Linked DNA regions of Mus musculus. The protein of the gene in region 2 interacts with the protein of the main gene of each other region in a pairwise test. Links are inferred from orthologs where the notes say so. Each region holds a gene or a part of one and is shown on either strand. Other genes may lie near its edges.

Evidence for each region. The genes of interacting proteins can lie anywhere in the genome.
Region 1: the proteins of Kat5 (region 2) and Zc2hc1c interact in binary tests that used the Homo sapiens proteins (3 or more experiments, as listed by UniProt). The link is inferred for Mus musculus from reciprocal best matches to the Homo sapiens genes KAT5 and ZC2HC1C.

Annotation. Positions count from the first base shown.
Region 1 is NC_000078.6:85,287,342-85,291,392, forward strand, and holds the start of Zc2hc1c (zinc finger C2HC domain-containing protein 1C), read left to right. Parts: upstream 1-1,249; 5' UTR 1,250-1,444; intron 1,445-2,210; 5' UTR 2,211-2,229; coding exon 2,230-3,540; intron 3,541-4,051. Other genes in the region: Acyp1 (acylphosphatase-1), read right to left, coding at 837-1,002.
Region 2 is NC_000085.6:5,607,252-5,611,609, forward strand, and holds the start of Kat5 (histone acetyltransferase KAT5), read right to left. Parts: upstream 2,844-4,358; 5' UTR 2,779-2,843; coding exon 2,767-2,778; coding exon of another isoform or gene 2,668-2,766; coding exon 2,601-2,667; intron 2,494-2,600; exon of another isoform or gene 2,281-2,493; coding exon 2,212-2,280; intron 2,122-2,211; coding exon 1,985-2,121; intron 1,734-1,984; coding exon of another isoform or gene 1,707-1,733; coding exon 1,551-1,706; intron 1,462-1,550; coding exon 1,387-1,461; intron 1,079-1,386; coding exon 1,004-1,078; intron 714-1,003; coding exon 465-713; intron 390-464; coding exon 300-389; intron 1-299. UniProt on the Homo sapiens protein: Catalytic subunit of the NuA4 histone acetyltransferase complex, a multiprotein complex involved in transcriptional activation of select genes principally by acetylation of nucleosomal histones H2A and H4.

The DNA of each region.
Region 1 (4,051 bases), on a different chromosome or scaffold from region 2:
GTAGGCAGGAGGACTAACTAGTGCTAACCATAGACTAAATAGGGAGCCTGTCTCAAAACAAACAGCAAACAAAACAAAACAGAAGAGACTCCAGTGGGATCCTAACACAGAGAGAGACAGACCCAGGGATGGGAAGGGGAACTTTTCTTGCACAAGGAAGTTATGTATACTTGAACACTAGAGATTCAGGGGGAGAGTATGGAAACGAGTTAGAAAAGATGTATGGGAAAACCCATAGAAGCTGACTGAGGCAGGGTCCTAGTCCGTGGGAAACCTCTGCAATGTGGAGAAGGCCGAAGAGCCAACTGGGAATGAAAAGAATGACTGACAATCTGCCCTAGAGAGTCCACCAAGGAATTTTTTTTTGTAGCGCATAAAAGCTGACATCTGATCTGTTGTATTAACGAGACTGCTGTCTACTTTATTTCCCACGTGCTCGAATCTTCTGTGTAGTTACAAGAAAAACGGAGCTATCTGTTCCAAAACAGCTTATCCAAATGAACTGAAGCACGAAGAAGACAAATAAACTCTCTTCTGTTGTCAAAAAGTTACAGAGGACCATTTAATGTTGAAATCAAGTTATGTTCATTACTGTTGATCTGGTTGTTAACTTTATTATTGTTACTTTTGGCTGAGTCATTCCTGGGCCCTAAGTAGTAACGGTCACGTGAGAGTGAAACGTTATAATAGCAAAATGATTAGATTGGCCATAGAAACTACCCTGGGACTATAACACGTAGTGAAATAATAGTAAAGCTAATATAATAGCAAGCGCCAAAGCATTGCGAGGGAAGACAGCCCGGAGCATGTAGCCTGGAGCTCTTACATAGCCCTACCTGGGGCCTGAGCGCAGTAGCCGAGCGCACTCAGAAGGGTGATCAGCAGTCCCACTCCCGCTAGCTGGACAGACTCCCGAATCCTGGGGCGGGATGATTCCGCAGCCCATCTAGGGGCTCCACCCTTCTCCAGACAAGGGCACACCCTAAGGTCTGGGAGCTTCATTCTCGGAGAAATCCAAGTTCTTCTTTGATGTAGCCCCAGAAAAACCTCTCCAACCCCTCCCCAAGGGAAACGCTGATCTGAGCTGCGGAGTTGGCTGCACCTCGACAAGTGACCCGACTGCACCCGTACTCCACCTCCCTTCCCTCCTCCCCTCCCCACCTCCCTCCCCACCTCCCTCCCCACCTCCCCGCACTCCCTCCACCACCTCCCTCCGTCCCTCCAACCCAATCTGCCCCGGCGGCTTTCGGATTGCTTGTGGACTGCGCCTGCGCACATCTGGAGCTAAAAGTTCTCAACCAGAGGCGGTGCTCTGGTCTCCAGGCAACGGGATAACAGAGGTGGACAGAGAGCGCCTGCGTGGACGGCGGTTGGGTTTAGTCAGGTGTGGAAAACTAGGTCTTGGGGATTTTCCCTGAGCTGGAGCGGCCCCCGAGCGCCTCAGGTACGCCGAAAGGGGAGATACTGAGACCTCCCGAGGGGTTGGAGAGTGAGAGTTTATCCCTAGAGGCCGGGTCCCAGTAAGGACTCCCGTTTGACCCTCTGGGACAGAACATGACTCTGGAGTTCCGGATCCAAAGCGGGCTGGGGCGCTCAGGTGTCTGTCACCCCCTCTCCCAACACACTCTCTTTACAAGCCTGGTGCGGTTTGAGCCATAGAGCATCTTTGCATGAGGGCTTGACAGCCGGGCACCTGCTTCAGGCCCGGGTGGCTCGTGCTCTTTGTAGTTTGTAGCAAGGGGAAAGTCCAGGGAGTGCTTTGGGCCAGGCCCTGTCGCCAGGCCACTGTTCTCACCCCGTAAAACCGTGGGACTGGACTCAGAGCGGCCTCTGCAATTTACAAGAACCCGGGGCTGGTAAGAGCAGGTTGCCTGTTTTGTGTCACGGACGACCTTCTATCTAAAGCTTTTCCCACCCATTCCATAAATGGTGTAGAGCAGGTCATCTACAGGCCTGGAGGAAAGTCAGTGGCAGAACACCTGTGTCACGTCCATTCTTTGGTCCTCGGGGCTTAGCAATGTCTGGCCTGGCACATAACCATCACTCCCTAAATGCTTATTGAAAGAATGTCCTGGCAGAGCCAACACCACAGTCCCGAGAAACGTTTAAAGGGAATGTGGGTAGGGCAAATGGACAAACAGTTTACTCTAGCAGCCGGGAGTGAACCTCAGACAAATTCTTCACATGTATCTGCTTTAAATCTCCCCTAGGCTTCGGTCCAGGCACTGAATGGCTGGTCTCCAGTTGGCTCCACATCTGCCTGTGGGCGTTATGTTCCCACATAATAAAACAGAAGCTCCTGGACTCCACTCAGCTAAGCACGACCCTTACGAACAAAGTGACTCTTCCCAGCGGCCCTCGATGGGACATTTGAGGAATAGTTTCCAGTCGAAGCTTTGGAGCAACACAGAAATGGAGCAGGAGGACGAGGTCTCCACCCGCCCCAAAAGGAACGTCTGCACAAAAGCCCGGAGGCACTCCTGTCCCCACAGTGCAGGAATCAGGCAGCAAGGCTCAGGGAACAATGCCCAGGGCCAAGGAAAGGGTCTGTTTTACTTGTCTAGTCCGACACCCCGGTATCCCAAAGCAAATGACCAGGACTTCATTCCCTTTAGGAGGAAACGAGTGGGAGTGGATCGGGCTTACCCACTGAAACCCATGGTCCACCGGAAGTCACATAGTACAAGTGATGCGGGCGCAGACGGGGACCAGAATGGCTACCCAAGACTCCCTGACTCAAGTGAGTTTTCAGACAACAGCTTTGGTTTAAGGAGCTGGGTGAATTCATCTCTTCTTGCCTCTGTGCAGGCAGAGAAGGTCGTGGCGGAGCTCCATAGGACCGAGTGGACCCAGATCCAAAGGCTCGAAGCTGCAGGGGAGAGTTTACAGAAGGAGATCCGCAGAAAGGAGATTCTCCTACAAGAAAAGCTGAAGAAGACAGAGGAGGGTCTTCGAAGGATGCAGAAGGAAAAGAAACAGGCCATTTTCCAGGAAGACAGAGAGCTACAAAGGATGGTACTACCTAGAAGGAGGGTTCGAGATGGTGACCATGACACCCCACACAAACCCTGCTTGTCCCCAGAGTTCAGGTCTGAGGTATTCAGTAGAAACAGGGGAGAGGATCAAACTTGTGATCAGGCTCAGGAAAACCCTAGTCCACGCCAGCTCTCTGATTATGAACTCCAAAAGCTCAAAAGGGAAAGACTGATGGCCAGTAACAGTAAAATCCGAGATCAAGACGCAGGACCCTCAGCAGACGCGTTCTTTCAACCGGCAGAGGAGCTGGGCAGTACACTGCAGGAGTCAAGTCGGTCCGGGACACCAGGCTCCTCTGGGTCCAGCTCCTCCACAGAAGAGCCAGAGCTGGCCAAGTGCAGCCACTGTGGACGATCGTTTCTTTCCCTCAGGCTGCAGAGACACTCCACCGTCTGTGGCAAGATGCAAGGGTCCAAAAGAAAAGTGTTTGACTCTTCCAGGGCCCGGGCGAAGGGCACAGAACTAGAGCAGTACTTGAACTGGAGGGGACCAGCCACAGCCAAGGTAATAAAAGCCTCCTAGATTTGACTCTGTGCAGGGGTGCGTGGAATGGCCTGCTACGCCCTCACTGGTTTGCTTGTGGGAACTGGGGTAGTGTAGGACGGAGGGGAGAATCAGGATTTCTGTTTGCCTAGTCTCTCTAGTCAGAGCTTTGTGTAGGAGCCTCACAGTTCTGTGAGGGTAAGAATCTTATTGTGTCCGTGGGAATGTCATTACATTCATTCAAAAACCAAGGCCTAGGCTTCCCCTAAACGGATACGTGTCTGCACGCTCGTGCACATGCTTGCACACACATTGGACAGTTTAAGTAGATTCTTATCTTTCAGTGATGTCCTCAGAGACCCATGGGTAGTAGATCTACAGTCAATTGCTAATCAATAGCTCTTGCTAGTTACTATCCTAACACCTTTATGAATAGATAAATCTTAACTTTAATTGACCCCAAAATCCAGACTTCAAAATGTATGTCCTTTTGATTATTATAAAAATGAATTCGTGTTTGCTGCAGGAAAAA
Region 2 (4,358 bases):
TTCTGAGTGCTGGGATTATAGGCACACACACCTCCAAGCTCTGATGACAGCTTCCTGTGAACTGTGCTGAACCCCCTCTGTTACTGGAACCTGAGTAGCTGTCATGTCTGCTCTGCCGTGACAGTGACCTCTCAGGAAAGAAAATTTCTCTAAATCCCAGTTTTCTGTACATTCCCTGCTCCGTGTCAAGAATTCAATAAAAACAGTGACCTGCTCATAGGCAGAATGGTCAACTGTTCTGAGCAGGAAAAGGTTGTTCATGTGACTCACTCCAGCCCAGCCGTGCCCAAGCCACTAACCTTGTTTTTCCGTCCATCAATCTCAAAAAAGGAGATGGTGCCCTTGCGGTAAATTTCATTGCCTGGAGGGTGCCGAAGATCACATTTGGTCTAAGGACAAAAGGAGGATCAGGTGGGGACTGGTGAGGGTACTCTGGATAGGCAGCCTCCCAAGACCCCTCATACCAAGTGGCGTTGCAGACACTTGAGGCTACGGCCATATTTGAGGCAAAATTCGCACAGGTAGAGGACGGGTAGCGTGGTAAGCTCTTGTGGGTACGGGGAGAAGTACCACGGCTTGAGGCGGTGCCGGCCAAGCTCAATACACTCAATGTTCTTCATCCGGGTGACAATGTCGTCGTGGCTCCGGTCAGACACCAGACTGCCAGTCATTCGTGGTGCTGACGGTATTCCATCTGAGCTGTCCTGAGAATCCTGCCCAAGGCAGATGGCAAATACTAGATGGTAGCAGTTAAGCAGAGCGTGGCGCACGACACTGCCATTGGCTTCTTCCTGCAAGTCTAACATCAGCTAAGGGCAAAGCACCAACCTCCACTTCCAAAATAAAGCGAGGCTGAGAAACTGAGAGTAGAAGAGGCCCAGGGGTTCATCTGCTTGGCTCCCAGCCACCACCCTCCCTGCCTAAGGCCTCACCGAGTGAACACCATGCCCAAGCCCACTCCCCCTTTCCCGGCTTCCCTCTCCCTCTGCTCCTCAAGACCCACCTCATCAGTGCCCAAGCAATTAGATTTCCGCTTCCGTCCAGGCTGGGCTGCCACTGCCCTACGGGCTGACCCATTCTGTGGACAAGACACAAGAGAAAGAGCGACCGTGAGATGATCCTGGAGGAGGATGCTAGACAGCAAGGAATAAGAGGGGAAAGACCAGGCAGGCTGTTGGGATGGCTCAGTGGTTAAGAGCCCTGATCTTCCAGAGGACTTCCTGGGTTCTTTTCCCAGGACCCACAGAGTGGCTCACAACCATCTCTAACTCCAGTTTCAGTGGCTCCAATGCCCTCTTCTGCCCACCTGCACCAGGCATGCAAGTAGAACACATGCAAAACACAGACAAAACATTCAGACACATGAAAAAAGACTGGAAGACTCACCTGAGGGAAAACCGAGGCTGGGGCTGTCTCGCTGGGCACTGGGGTTGCTGGTGAAACCACCTCCACCTTCCGTTTCTGCAGAGAGAAACCAGGAAAGGTGGGTCAGAAGGTAGAGAAGGTGGGACCTGAGAAGAAAGCAAGGTCCCTGGAATTGCTGAGGGTACCGTTGAGCGGTGGTTGGGTTGCAGGCAGGAGCTGGAGGAGAGCGGCTGGTCAGGCTCGCCACCTGGGATGGCCTCCCGCTCCTTGGGCAGGTTGAAGCGGAGTGTGATCTGGACCGGGATTGGCAAGGTCTTCCCGCTGGCCTGGGCGGAGGCCGGCTGCAGAGATAGGTCCAGGGTCTTCCTCTGGGGTGGGGATGGTGGTGGGATGGCGAAGGGGGGGATGGGCCCCTCAGCATGGAATCCCACCCTCTGCCTTCTCTAAAGCAAGGCAGTGCTGGACTCTGGAAGCTACGCCTGCAACTTGGTCCCCATCCTTTGCAAGCTGAAGCCATGGCAGAAGAATGCTGCCTCCTGCCCATTCAGGAACCCCTGAGGCCAAGAGATGCAAGAAGGAAGAGGCAGGAGAGAAAAGATGAAATGGGGGACCTACTCACCACCTCTCTTTCGGGAGAGCCGGGGCGGGACCCAGGAAGTCCGTTCTTGGTAGGTGTCTTGGCCTCTTTCTTGGGAAATTGGATCTTCTTTAAGTCCAGCCGCTCGTGAGTCACCCATTCATCCAGACGTTTGTTGACTGCAGCAGTGAAAACGGCTCAGGAGGGAATGCCAGAGGCTGCCCTCAACCCTCTCCAGCAACCCCACTCCATCCAGGCCCAGGACTCACAGTCAATGTAATGGACATAGAAAAGCTTTCGGCCACTGATGTCCTTCACGCTCAGGATCTCAGCCAGGGCTATGAGAACCACACAGACAGGGAGTCTTAGCCAGGGCAGGTCAGGAGACTCCACCCTTCGACCTGAATCCCACCTCCAGGCTGGAGGCCTGTGTCCCAGCACTCAGAGGGGCTGGTTCAAGACCCCTTTAGTCACCAAGTGACACCTCTCTCCAAGCCCCGCCCGGATCATCTCCGTACGTCCAAAAGCCACGCCCCTCCTCCCGAGTATCTGCGACCGCCCCGGGATTGCAGAAGCCCCTCCCCCTCCCGTGCGATCGTTGACTCCCTCCCGCCCCTCGCCCTCAGGTTCCTTGGACCCGCCCCCCGACGTCACTCACGCCACTCATCTTCGTTGTCCTGGTTGCGCCGCAGCACGGGCAGGCGGCAGCCCTCGATTATCTCCCCCTGGGGAGACAGCGCGGCGCCAGGGTCGGCTACTGGGGGGCCTCGGGCTCTACCCACCTCCCCTGGCTCCCTCCGCCCCGCCCCGGGCACCGGACTCACCACCTCCGCCATCTTCCCTCCCTCCACTGCCACTTCCGGCCCCTCTGGGAGACGTCACTTCCGGAGCTGAGTGCGCTATAGGCCCGAGCCCCTTGAAGCTGTTTGAAAGGGAAACACTTGAGAATCACTGCTAGCTGGTTGGTAGCAAAAAGCCGGCCCGTTTGGGGAATGGAAGAGCAGGACGTTGTAAACCTGAGGCCAAGTACTAGATGGAATCCCCGCTCCTCGCACAGCGATTGGAGGAACGCCGAGTCTGTCACGTGACGCCCACCGGGTGCGACGCCGGTCACTCAGATCATGTTTAGGCTTTGTCTAGAGGCAGTGTTCTGGCGAGCCTCTTAGTGGCAGTGTGAGGTGTCACCCTGAGTAAGAAGCTAAGGAGTGGGGTTTTGAACCCTGGGGAGTCAGTAGACCTGAAGGGATTTAGAGATCCACCCAGGTGTCTGCATAAGATTGCACAGGCCTGGGGGCTTAGCAAGATTTTTCCGTTAATACTGGATTTCTATTTTTAAAATAGTATATATGTGGCTGTATACATGGAAGGTTCAAAATTCCAGTAGGCATTCAGTCAACAAGAATGGATGTCTCAGTTGGTCTTCATTATACATCAGAATCCCAAAGAAGTAGGCGCTAATGACAGTGAAGGAGCGGACTTGTCAACGAGAGTGAGAGCAAGTAGGCAGAGTAAAAGCAGGCTGGCAGTGGAGGCAGAAGCAGGCGAAGCTCTATGAGTTGAGGCCAGCGTTGTCTACAGAGTCAGTTCCAGGACAAGCGGGGTTACACAGATAAGCCCTGTCCTGGGGGTGGCAGGGAGGAAAATCTTGTTTCATGTCTTTCTTTTAGTTTCCAGCAGAAGGTGCATCTTCTGACTTTGAATAACAAGAATAGGTTTGAATAACAAAGGTGTGTTCTCCCTCCTCAAAGATGTGAATTCAAAGTGGATCTTCCACCAAGCCAGCTTGCCAGCACTGGGGAGGCAGAGGCAGGCCTGGTCTACAGAGCAAGTTCCAAGACACCCAGGGCTACACTGAGAAATCCTCTTAAAAACACAAAGCAGTGGGTTTTCCCACTTCAGAGTAGGCAAAATTGTTCACGTATGTGTTCTTCCATTTTTGGGTTTTAGTGAAATCCAGATGTAGTCAAATGGACAACCAAAAATAACTATCACAGATATTGATAACATGCCTAAAGGGTGTAGTGGGGCCCTTTAGCCTTACTTCTAAGTGTTCCCAGTTTAAATGGTTTCGGGTCCATTTGGCCACTTTGAGAAGAGTTTATGTGCAGAAGTAAAGGATTGGTTTCATCACAGGAGCATTAATAATAACACTTGGATTTGATCTGTGTGCAAAATATGTTCAGCATAAGAAGTACTGAAAAGCCAATAGGCCTTTTGTTATTGTTTGTTCTGAGGTGAAGTCTCACTGTGTAGCCCTGCTTGGCCTGGGACTTGTCACAAGGATGACAACAGGCATATGACAGCACACGGCATTTTTCTCTCTTGTGAGTTCTGAGTTGTGCCATCTTTCAGAACATCCAGTCTTCCCCTGAGGAACTGAAGCATCACCACTGTTACTCACAACAGCCTCACAGGG